Linked DNA regions of Caenorhabditis elegans. The protein of the gene in region 2 interacts with the protein of the main gene of each other region in a pairwise test. Each region holds a gene or a part of one and is shown on either strand. Other genes may lie near its edges.

Region 1 (7,761 bases), on a different chromosome or scaffold from region 2:
TGTCAACTGGAAAGAATACATTTCATTTTGAAACATACAGTTTTGTATATAATTTCGTAGATTGAATAAGCTTCCTGACCATAGACAAAAATCTCCGATACAACTTTGTGGTTACTAATTTAGAGTTAAATTAGTTTAGCTCCCTATTAGTATTCTCTAGTTACTTCCAACTATACAGCTTCGTTGCCTAATTGTCAAAATTTTTATGAGAACTATCTAAGCATTGACGTAGGTTTCATTAACTTGTTAACTCACGGTTGTATGAAACAAATTTCAGTTTTTAAAGTGTTTTCGATGTTTCTAACATTTCTTTCAAGAAACCCCATATTTTTGTTTGATCCGTGCACTAGATTAAAAAAAAAACCTTTACACTTTGGCTTTTTTCTGTTTTCATATAAATTTGATCTTGCTTTTTTACACTAGAGGTCCGAAAAAGTAACACCCAATTTAGAAAAATAGCCAAAACAGGAGGAACGGCTCGCAATTTATGTGCATTTTTTTGTGTCAACTCCACCCCAAGGCTTCTTCTTCTGCTACTTCTACATCTCTACGCCTGTCCTCCGCCCATCTCAAAGTTCGTTTATGTCTTGGGGACCGCATTTTCTCCGCCCCTTTACTCTTCGTTTTTTCTTTATTTAGTAAAGAAGAGATGTGGAAAAGATATTCATACTTTCCTTCCGTCTAAAATTCAACTGGCTTCTGAAGGTTTCTGCTCAGTCTAGGGCCACTTTTAATAGTTCACAAATAAACTATTGTTCAGTCTTGACAGAAGAAAAACATTCAATGACCTTAACTTTATTCCTTATTTTTGTCATTAGACATCTCGCACTTTGCTCTTTACTTCCTTGCCTATTTTCAAAAGACAACTCATCGTTGGACCCTTACCCCCCGAGATTCAAAAATTGAATATTCAATTGATGTGAAAGAAATCATCTGGGCTACCAGAGACGTGCCTCCTGGATTTCTTCTCTTTCTTGATAGATTTGGAGACATGAACCCCATCATTGCCAGACCTGCACTTTTAATTTTTTTTTCTTATTGGTGATTTTTGGGCTGCAATAACCTCAAAAACTATTTTTTTTTAAATGTTTGAAGGTCTTCCAAAATATTCATGACAGAAATACAATTGTTCGTGTTGGTTAATGTGCTGAAAGTCTATGTACAACTTTTGTAATTTCCACAATGACAACTTTTTTTCGTAGCTAAATTTCACATTTTGTGTGACTTCCCAACTTAATTTTATTATTTGTTGATCACTGATTTAGGATTAAGAGTAAGCTTAATGTGTGCTTTGTGTTAGAAATTTTAAATATTTTTAAAGATTTTACTTTAAGAGAGAATAATGATGTTTTTCAATGTTTAGTATTGATGTATCAAATACATTACGTTGACAGTCATCTGAGCATTGGTAAAGAATTTCAAACTTTGAGCGAAACACTTAGAACTTTCCAAGCAAATTATATTTTTCTAACTCTTCAGATTCTTTCTGTTATCGAGTCTAAAAAACTTCAAAATTCAATTCCATTTTTGAAGTGTTCCGTGCCTTTTTTAGTTTTAAAACATTCTGAGAAACTAAAATCTATTACGTTTCAGAAAGTAGGACCATTTGTAGAACTACTTACAGCAAAAAAACACTTGAAAATTTTTGTTCTTTACATTTTAGCATTAATCCTTGGAACACCTTTGTTTTTACCTTCTTCAAACCGTCTTGTTGGCTTAAAAAATGTAATAAAAAACTGTTTTAAGGTGATCCAACTCCAAAAAATGGAGGCCGGAGAGACATGGAATGTCTCCCTTGAATGGCCTCCACCCTCTCTTGATCTTTCAACAATCACACAAACACCATCAACGATAGTCGGAAGTGGAATTCCTTTGAACTACGCTGGACTTTCTCTTATTGTTATTCCACTCATCACGCTACTTGGAAACCTTCTGGTTAGTTAGAGTTCAATTGTCAGTTAAAAAATATATACAACTGTGTAATGTTACAGATAAAACTACTTGTTGATGTTTTTGATAAGAATGAAATCTTGAAAAATAAGAAATGTATCTTGATAGTCTAAAATTATCAAAGAAGAAAAAAAAATTTTGTCTCAAAACCCAGAAATTAGGGAGAAATCAGAAAACTTTTTTTTTTTCAAAAAATCGAAACATCAAACAACGAGTTCTTTTGTGCCTCAGTTCGTCTGACATTTAAAATCAATATGCCAAGATACTTCTTAAATTATCTTCGAAACGGTATCAAAATATTATTCAAAATTTGTGAACAAAGAACGATTCCTTGCGATTCTGGAGCAATGTCTTATAGATGTTCGTGTGAAACTCAGTTCCTCACATTTATTGTACATTTGGTTCAATTTCAAACTCCAAAGCACGTTCCAAAATAATAATAAAAAAGTATATTTTCTTTTCAGGTAATAATATCAGTACTCCGGTACCGAGCACTGCAATCAGCCATCAATTTCCTTATCCTAGGCCTGGCTGTGGCGGATCTTTTGGTGGCCATCATAGTTATGCCATACGCGGTTTATGTATATGTAAGTGATCAATTATATGTCTTTTGTTGGCAACCACAGCAACAGCTCTCCATAGCAGCATAGGCTCCCAATCTGCGTTTTCCTGAAGTGACGTGCTGTTCCACCTCTCTCTCTCTCTCTTTGCCTAACAAGGGAAACCGAGGTTGAGAAAAAACGAGAAAAGAGACATCAGCGACCAAGAGCAGTAATTTGTTGAGTGTCTCTCACAAGAGCTCCCGAGCTTTGCTCACACAGATTTATGGTTGTTTTCTGACGGTTGCCACGTCATAAGTTTTGGTAACTAGCTAACTAGTTGCAAACGTTGAAAGTCTCGTTGCATTTATAAATAGTACTAGAACACGTTGAAAATGAAAAAGAAAAGAACATCAAAGAGAAGAGACAAGACATGAAGCTGGTTGATGTAATCCCCTGACAGCTATCACATAACTCTATTGATGGACAGAGTGCCAAACGATACTTCTTTGTTAAGTTCCGTAGGTTTTCCCGTTGAAACAGAACTCTGCAAACTGACTTGACTTAAAAAGAATAGAAAAAGGGGCATGATGATGGATGGTACAAGGAGCGTGTGCGTGTGTGTGTGTGACGTGGAAATGAAGCCCAGTGGGGTGGAAAAGGGGAAAGAACGTGGTGTGAAAAGTGTCAAATTAGATGCACGGAAAGCCGTATTTATTGCTTCCTAGATCCTTCCAACCACGAAGGCTTTTCCTTTTTTTCCGGTAGATTAGAGAAAGCGTCAGGAGTGAAGAATAATGGAGAATTAGGGTAATGCGTATCAGATTCTGCAGAAAAAAGCAATTGAATAATAGACTTTGAAATTGTGTTTCAGTTGGGAAATTTCCATCGACAGTATAAATGAACACCATAATTACTATTGTAGTACAAAAACTAAAAATACCATATATTCTATTTTAGTGCTGCATCGCACTATTCCATTTTGGAAAGGTATATCTCGGTTTATTTTGAAGATATCAAAAATTACTGTTCTACAAAACTATAGAAAAAGAATTCAAAATGATTTATTCATTTGACAATTTTTAATAAAAGAAAAGATAACCGAAAGTAGTCAAAGCAATGGTGTACAGAAGTAAAGAATATACGTTATTCGTTTTTTCAACTGTCCATTAATTTTCCCTAATTTGCAGGTCACCAACGGCGACTGGTATCTAGGAAATCTAATGTGTGACATTTACATGGCATCTGATGTGTGCTGTAGCACAGCTTCTATTCTTCTTCTTGCCGTAATTTCATTCGATCGGTGAGTCGGGAGTTTCGAGTCATCTGAATAGAAAATGAACGTGTGGCTGTTATTCAACCAACCATTTTTTCTTTGTACTCATTTTTTGCATTCAGAATATGACGGGGAACAGCAAAGATCGTGGGAAAAATGTTAAGAGCATAAATCTAAGTATTTTGCTAAAATAAAAATGCACAGTTTTCTACAAAAAACTGAACTGTTCAATTATTTCAGATACCGTGCAGTCTCTTTACCAATTCAGTATTCAAGACAGTCACAAAATGTGAAACGGGTATGGACATTGATAGCTGTTATATGGTTGGTCAGCCTAACATTAGCCAGTCCAATGGTTTTTGGTTAGTTTCATACATATATCCTTTTAAAAAAAATCAAACTCTTCTGAATTGAAGGAGTAAACGTTCGTCCACCAGATGCTAACCCATACGAGTGTCGATTCTACAATGCTGAGTTTTCGATCCTCAGTTCTATGATCTCGTTTGTTATTCCTTGTTTTCTAGGTAAATTGAAAAGCCAAAAATGGTTTATTAAAATAGCTTCCCCGTTTCAGTACTTTTCGTCTATATTCGAATTATAATTGCTCTAAAAAAACGAGAAAAGGCAGCTAAAATGAGGAGAGAGAAGAACACAATTGCGCACGGTTTAACGTAAGATTTATTTGTTTACAATATTTGAAAATATTGAAATTACAGAATGAGGCCTGATACAGGCGAAGAGCAAGTTGACGAAGAAGCTGCAGGGCGTATTGTTGCTGGACCAGGTTAGTTTTCAAGTTTTTGTAAGATTGCATTCAGATGAGCGCACAAAAATTGACTAGGCTTTGATACTTTTTTAAGATTCATAGAAATTTCATAGAGAAGTGAAGTGAATTTTTCTCTTGAGTCGTATAACATAATTTATTTACTGATTTAACCTTTTTGCTTACAGTAATCTTATCGTAGCTTTTTGTGCAGCAGCGAAAACAGTTTCTGTGATTTTTCTTCTTTTCTATTAGTTTCAGATTAAAGCTTTAAATATTATATTTCAATGTCTTTCTCACGTTCTTTTTTTTTCAATTTTACTTCTCTCCTTCCACCTATTTTTTAAATTTTAGCAGTTTAGAATGAAAACTTTAACACATATGCACAATTTCCAACATTAACTACAAGACGAATTGAAAAGTTTTGAGACACACAACTTGGAAACTTATACCTTCCCCTAATATAGCTCAGTTTTGATACGATTTTCCCAAATTCCCTAGACATTTTTTAATTTCCGTTGAAAGTCGTTCATTTTTCAATCCTACATCAGCTCGAGCTAATTTAAGTTCTAGTCTTTCCTCTAAAATTATACTTTCCCTACACGTGTTTCGTCGTTTCCAGTGGTGAATGTCATGATGGCTGCTCTACCATCAATGACTCGTCGGATGAGACAATTCGAACGACATCGTCGCGCAATTGAACTCGCAGGTGATGAAGAATGGGAGGAAGATGAGCTGGACGTTATGGATGAGTGTTGTGGGGGTGACGATGCCGGTGACGATGATGATGATTATCATGCTGATAATGGACAGGGCGTCGTTGAGGCATCGGCACCTCGTACCACTTCCATGCTCCGAAGGATCATAAACGCAGCGTCTGTCGGAACAGCAAACTCGACTGCGCAGAGTGTTGCTTCAGCGTCCGGCATGCCTGCCTTCTTCGCCCAAAATATTTCCACCACCTCTCCGTCTTCTTCTTCGTGTGCTCGTACAACTACTACTACTTCTGCAATACCGAAGGCATCCGGTGATCTACCACTTCCTATGCTCCTGAGTATGTCGGAATTCATATATTCACATGTACTATCAACAGCACCGTTTCCTCATTTCTGCACAGACTATTGCACAACACGCTTCTACCACTTTCACTGATTTCTTATGTTCTTTCATTTTCCAGCTTCTCACTCACTATCACCTCAAGCTTGCAGAACGTTAGTTGCATGATTCATTATAGATAAAAAATGAAATATGGATATTTATTTGGAAAATAAAAATGTTTGCAGTGAAAACTAGCACGAAAGTTAACTCAGCTTGAGCATTTGGGAATTGCGTTGAGCATGATTTATATATTGTATTCCTTGAAAATATTCAACACAGTTTGGTTTCAGATGAAAGAGAATTTGGAAATAGTTCGACACCACGATCAAGTCTTGAATCACTTTCGGAAAATGTCAACGTGATTACAAATGATTTTGTGTCGGAGAATTGCACCACATTTTCAAGGTATGCATTGAAAATTTTACGAATATTTTAAATTTCGTCTCAAATGGACACTAAATTGCGCATCGATTGCTACTATTTTCGTAAAAATTTTGTAAAAATGTGAAAATATGCCACTAGAATGCAATTTATTCCAGAATATCTTTTTTCGAATTTTTTTCAGGGTTATTAGTACTTTTAATAACTAACTTTCTTGTGGCGACCCCTAAAAAACCACGCGCTTTTGGAAACACCATAAAATACTGCAAAATTACGGTAAAAACTACGTAGTAGCGAATTTGCAATAAATACATGAGAATAATTACACGAGAAGTGAAAGTGGTTTAGTTTTTCAACTTTTAAACCTATTTTTCACAATAGCTGTTGAACTTTTGTTGTCTGAAAATGTATTATTTTTGACTGAAGTATAACATATGTTTCTTCCCATATTTACTGATTAATTTTTTCAGAAGATCGTCATATGCTGACGACTCCCAACCAACATCGTCTCAAACTTCATCCGGAGATGGTCGAAGTTACAGTATCAAAGGACAAAAAAGATTTAGAAATTTGTCAAGAAACTATTCAACAAAACATCATAGAAAAGTAGTGAAAGTGAATAGAGGCAATTCTAGAAATAATTCAAGAACAGCATCAATGTAAGTATAGAGTTTGTTTGAAAATTTAATGAAATTCTGTTTGCAGAACAAATCAATCAGATGATGCATTGATTCCTGCAATTATTCGAACAATCTCTAGAAAAAGTCCCCGTTTATTCCGAAGAGATAAGACTGATATTAAAAAACATTCGATGATATTAGCCAATCCAATAACTGAACCTCCAAAGGAATACCGACGAGTATCAATGCCAATTCATCCAACAAATTCACAAACTGAAACTGAAACTATTTCTGCATCACGAGATATTGAAAATCTTCCCACTACGACAATTAGCAGAAGTACGACGGCAAATAGTGAGAATTATAAAGAATTTTGAAGAAAATTTATTTGTTTTTCAGGCGCAGAACTACTTGGATCACCAGATGATTTTGAAAAGTTTCCAGCGTTGATTACTGAAACAGTTTTAGAAGATGTATTAGCTGAAACAAGAGAAGGATGTTTTATGCAACCGACTGTTAGTTTTGCATTAACAGTTAGAGAAATGGAAGGAAATGCTTTGAATAATTTAAAAGGATGCAGTGTTGAATCGAGTCGACGTGTTTCGCAAGTTGATCCTCCCTTGGCCATTCAAATATTAACAAGACCCAGTTTACCACGTAAGTTTTTGAAATTCTTTTTTACATCAAAATATGTTTTTTTATTACATCAAAAAATGTTTTTTGAAACACTTCCGTACTTTGCAGATCTTGACCTCCAACGAATGGATTCAATTGGCACTACATGCTCATCAAAAACACGTGCCGATAGCTTAAGGTCCGTCGACTCGAAAGGCTCAAAGAAAAGCAATCGAAATGGGATTGCTGTCAAGTTGGTCAAGAGGGCTATCAAGCATGAGCATAGTTTGAAGAGGAAGGTAGGCGGATTTCACTTTATTCAGAAAGACATTCCAACTTTTTAGTGAAAAAGGGGTTTAAACACACAATTTCCAGGTCTCAAAAGCACAACGTAAAGAGAAACGAGCCACAAAGACATTGGGTGTTGTTGTTGGAGTATTTCTTGTGTGCTGGGTTCCATTCTTTGTTATTAATATTTTGAATGCAGTTTGCATTTTGCTCAATAAAGATTCGTGTCAG
Region 2 (5,002 bases):
GCAGGTTCTTATTATTTAATTCAAACACTATTTGACAATCAATTGTTACTTTCAGAAATCTACTTTCTCCATTTGACGCAGAAAAACGCATGGAGCGAAGCTCACCATCGCAACAATTGTTCAGCCGAACTAAGAAAGATTCGTCCTCCGAAAAGCGACCGGCGTGGAAATTTTAATCACTAATATATGTTCTCAGTCCTTTTTAATTTGTCATTCGAACATTTTAATTACCTGTATATTTCTTGCGCTCTACAGATCATGGCATAATATCTTCACTTTTTGTAGAGCTGTGACGTTGGTCAGTGCTTGCAATGAATGATTTATTAATTGATTAATAACTTCAGATTTTAAATATAAAATGGTTCCACAGGAAGAATAAAACTAAAAATTGACAAAGTTTAGGCAAGATGGTGAAGATATTAAAAATATTCAAAGAATGAAAGAAGTTTGAGGAATAATCAATGTAGAATGCGTAGTAATAAGTGTACCCTGTTTGATATGAAAATTTAATTCACCGTAGAGTGATTTAGTAGTCATCTCGAATTACATGGTAAATGCGAATTTTCGAGATGAGACAACATGAGAGGCAAATTCCAAGCATCTGAAAATAAATATTTAAAACAGTTTTTTTTTTGGATATTGGGATGTATTTCTCGGAAAGGTATGAATTTTTTAATTTGTTTTTTTGGCTATCATTTTACAATTTATACATGTAAGAACTTCTATATCTAGTGAAACATGTGATTTTTTTTCAAATGCCGAAACAAATGTCTGACCCTCCCTTACCATGGTCAGTGCAGAACCGAATCCAAATCCTACGAATATCCAAATTTGCTCGTTGAACCACGACATTAGTCTTTCACTACACCCCTGAAAACTCATTTCTTTAGAAATAAATTAAAAACTTTAATATTAGCACAACAATCACACCAGCAAGAAAACATAATACACACTCACAACAGTGTTTACAGATGTGTCAAATGCCGTGGTAAGGTAGCGATATGTTGTGCACATCGGGTCAATGGGAACCGGTGCCCATGCTCTTCCAACTTGAGCTTGCTTGCAACAACTTGGCGGGACAAACGATCGAGTTCCACGCAACGTGTTAGTAATGTACCAGAACGAATCCTTGTAGTCCAGGGGACCTTCTCCCCCGCAACATTGGTGCTAAATCTCTTTCATTTCACAAAAATTGAAGAACAATTTTATCAAATTGATGAATGTGACACCATCGTCTTGTCTTCCTTGGCCTCTTTGTCACACCTTTACACTCAATCACTCTTAGCTCAAATCACTTCACTCATTAGTCGGGATCTTTGAACGCCCGGGGAGGCATTACATCAAAACGAAACTTCAATGGGGCGCACTTTGCACTCAACAGGGGATCCTTACCACTGCGTGTCTCCATTGTCTATTGGCACCAATTTGCTGGCAGCGAGCATAACTTTTAGCGAGCGGGTTTAATGCCGATGCGCCCGTTATTTGTGTACAACATGAGACCGGAAACAGAGGGGACTCGATCTCTTCCGAGTCTTGATTTGTCGATTGAGACCATCGGCTGCTGATATAGTCGGTGGGACCCAGCGAGCCACAACATTTTTCCTAATTTGAGAGTTTTATTCAGTTCGAAAAAATTTGGAGCTTACATAAAATTGAAGTTTGTCAATGAATTCAGTGACCATCTTATTTTCAGGTTCGCTAGTCATCACTCCATATTTGGATTTTACGATTTCGCGCACATTTTCTTTTACCGAATACACCTTAAAGATTGATAATTCAATAATTCAATAATTCAATTCAAAATTTACGATGACAAGAAGACAAGGAGACGCTGGCACTTTTGAAATTTTAAAATCTACCATAAACAAAATACTCACATAAAATTGAATAGTATCCATCAACGGCAGAACCCAACGATCTCGTGAGTAACGGTTGTATGTTAGGTTCTTCAGATACACTCCCATGTAATTGTTAGAAAACTGCAAAAGTAACATGCGTTGAAAATTAACAGGTTTAGACAAAAACCGTAATTTAAAGGAATTGTTCGTAGAGAATGTTCTTTTAAATGATAAAAAATCTGCAGTTTAAAAAAAACTGAATAAACATTAAATTATCGACTTTTAGAGCAATTTAAGAAACTAAATGAAATCCAATTGGGGTTAATTAACTTTTTCACGGAAAAGTGTCTGAAAATTTGAGGAACAACGTTTGCGCTGGAATTCAAATACAATTCAGCCATTTGAATTTTTGCAAAATTGGAAAATCATAATGTTGTTTTAATTTATGATTCTTCAACTGCTATATTTGGTTATTGCGTCCTTTTTTGAAGCAAATTTCAAGAGACAACAATTTGGAAAAAAAGTGAATTTGAAAATCTCAATTCAGTTTTTTTTTTCTTCTCAATTGTATCTAATGTCTCGTACAACACACATTTTTCAATTAAAACATTTTTAAACTAGAAGTTATGCAAACGATAGGTTTTCACATACACACATATATCAGCAACGGCAAGAATTCGAATTTTCATGAATAATTTTAATTCTCGAACACAAAAAAGGACATATATCAACTTACTTTATCCTTATAGAAAAGTGATAGAGTTCCCATTGCAACATCAGCCAAAAATGTGCCAATTAAAAACATGACGAACTGAAAATTAATTAAAAGTTACTTTTTTAAAAATTTCAAACTTACAGCTAACAGTAAGAATCTGCTCCTGTTAACTGCTCCACACAGGCCAAGAAATCCAACAAGAAGCTGAGCGCATCCACAAACCAATGAGACATATGCGGATGCCTTCTGCAAAAATAATACGTTTCAAAAATTTTTTGACGATTTACAAGAAATAGTCATTATTTAAACAGTTCTAAACTCAAAAAAAAAAATTAAAAATAAAATAGCTTACTCAATTCAAAAAATGTTTTATTCATTTCATTTTATCTGTAAAGTACACCTGTTTTCTTTTGTAGGAATTTTGTGTAAAAAGTTATTTTCTAATTTTCAAAAACTATAGTGCTAAAATTTTGCTGAAATTAAATTTTTGTGGCTGGAAATTTTTATGGCAAGAATTGGAAATTATTCAACTCTAAATCAACTCTAAAAAGATTAAACTCTAAATATCTACAAAATTTATGAAAAACACGTACCAATAACGGATCATTTTCCGAAAAGTGTACCAAATCCAAGATGTAGTTTCGTTTCGGGTCGAGAAGCATCCATAGTCCAAGAAACACGTGACCGAGAGCAGAAAGCTGAAAGAAAGTTAAAAAATTACTTAACATGTTCAGGCACAAACCCAATAGTATATTGAGAAAATTGAAACAGCTACCCGAAGGCAGCCACCGCCATCACGTTCTGTTGCCATGCACTGCCTGAAATTATTTTTCAGTAAAATGTAAGGTTAAAAAAGAATAAGAAATTACGCTTCAAAAGAACAAAAAGGTGTTAAATATCAGAATATTCAAAAAATGCATCTAACTGTCCCAGAGAAAATAGTAAGAGATACGAGACGTGAAAAGAAAGTAAACATAAGCAGGAAAATCTGAAGAACCAAAATTATGACATTCTACATATAGAATAATGCATTTTGTTAAATTTTTAGCAAGAAAGCGCCATAAATAATTCATTTTCTCCTCAGGTGCAAAAATAAGATTTGAGTATTTTAGAATTTCGTTAGTGAATGAAGCGATCAAACTTTAAACTTTCCGGAAGAAGCAAGATAACTCGGCGGCCACACGCAGCGATTAAAGAATCTATTTGCCGTTTGAAACTCTGGCGGACCGCGTTGCCAACTGATAAATTGAAATCACAGCTGACCATTCAACGAGCCACGCAGCACACGCAAACGAGTAGACCGGAGAGAAAGAGGAAGAGACAGGAGAGCATTTACCTGGCAAACAAATTCTTGACCTCATACTATGCATCATCTCTTCGTTGTGAACAAATAAAGTCGAACGGTGGAATACTGCATTGGCACTAGCCGACAATGTTAAGCGATGGGCAAGGACTCCTGAAAAATGCTACAAGTTATAAAAAATTTGAAATTTAAGCAGAAGTTGGTCTCCTGAAAAAAATAAGTGAAAATTGATAACAAAACAGTATTCAGAATTGGTGAAAAACTGTGCCCTTTCTGAATTCATGCTCACCGGTAGGCATTATTTGGACTAAATTTGGTACATTTCCTTTTTTACCCCAGATTTTTCTGGAACATTTACTTTTAAAAATTTATGCTTAGCAATTTTGTTTTCTAAGCCTTAGAATGAAAATAGTATTAAAATGAACATTCACGTGAGCATAAAATTCGAATAATTCAATGGTTTGAATGTTCTTTTAAAATGCGGGGTAGAAAATGAAAAGTACCCTAAACTTAAATATTCAATTAATTTCGAAAGCCCTCGTGGACTATGAGACTATCATTTTGGAAATAAATTAAATTTCCATTCATTTGTCAAATTCGGTCTATTTCAATTGATCGTGTTTTGCTTTTTTTTTTTCCTTTTTTAAGGCTTAGAAATGGTTGTTTCCGCCTCATGCAAAATCACTTTACTTTTTCCATAATTTGCATTTTAAATATGTTCCAATAATACCCAAGACTAAAACTTTTGAAAATGTGTTTCCTGCTTTAATACAAACATATTTCTACAAAAAATCTGAGCTGGAAGTTTTTTGAGGTTTATGAGTCGCCTTTCCAAAATTCAAAGATTTATTTACAAATCTTCATACTGGTTTAATTACATTCTCGATGTTCGACTAAAACTTCTGTACAATTTTTTTTACTAAGATTATGTTTCAAAAATTTATGTTCCAAAAATGCACCAATGCTCTAATCCTTGACAAAAACTGAATTTCTGGAACCTCAATGATTCCCTAAAACGGTGACTAAAAATCTATAAAAAACCACAATATTATGAAGACTTTTCTTAAATTATCTGGTTTTTTTGCCTATTTTGATCACGTGTAATCTAAATAGTATTTTAAAAATTTCTGAGAACTATCTATTTTT

What was found.
Region 1: the proteins of tsp-17 (region 2) and dop-2 interact in a two-hybrid assay, tested with the Caenorhabditis elegans proteins (one study listed by BioGRID).

What each region holds. Positions count from the first base shown.
Region 1 is NC_003283.11:9,606,816-9,614,576, forward strand, and holds the start of dop-2 (Dopamine receptor 2), read left to right. Parts: upstream 1-1,740; 5' UTR 1,741-1,764; coding exon 1,765-1,935; intron 1,936-2,414; coding exon 2,415-2,537; intron 2,538-2,591; exon of another isoform or gene 2,592-2,800; intron 2,801-3,679; coding exon 3,680-3,792; intron 3,793-4,005; coding exon 4,006-4,127; intron 4,128-4,181; coding exon 4,182-4,289; intron 4,290-4,339; coding exon 4,340-4,436; intron 4,437-4,481; coding exon 4,482-4,549; intron 4,550-5,150; coding exon 5,151-5,582; intron 5,583-5,916; coding exon 5,917-6,031; intron 6,032-6,477; coding exon 6,478-6,666; intron 6,667-6,712; coding exon 6,713-6,981; intron 6,982-7,026; coding exon 7,027-7,284; intron 7,285-7,371; coding exon 7,372-7,541; intron 7,542-7,617; coding exon 7,618-7,761. UniProt on the Caenorhabditis elegans protein: G-protein coupled receptor which binds to the neurotransmitter dopamine with high affinity leading to the activation of an associated G-protein and downstream signaling pathways.
Region 2 is NC_003284.9:3,679,539-3,684,540, reverse strand, and holds tsp-17 (Tetraspanin-17), read right to left. Parts: upstream 3,365-5,002; coding exon 3,296-3,364; intron 3,252-3,295; coding exon 3,147-3,251; intron 2,800-3,146; coding exon 2,695-2,799; intron 2,650-2,694; coding exon 2,575-2,649; intron 1,980-2,574; coding exon 1,878-1,979; intron 1,761-1,877; coding exon 1,647-1,760; intron 1,603-1,646; coding exon 1,393-1,602; intron 1,168-1,392; coding exon of another isoform or gene 958-1,167; intron 871-957; coding exon 787-870; intron 602-786; coding exon 527-601; downstream 1-526. Other genes in the region: Putative protein tag-278, read left to right, coding at 1-4, 56-176. UniProt on the Caenorhabditis elegans protein: Protects dopaminergic neurons against oxidative stress-induced neurodegeneration. May act partly via dopamine receptor dop-2 to negatively regulate dopamine reuptake transporter dat-1 activity.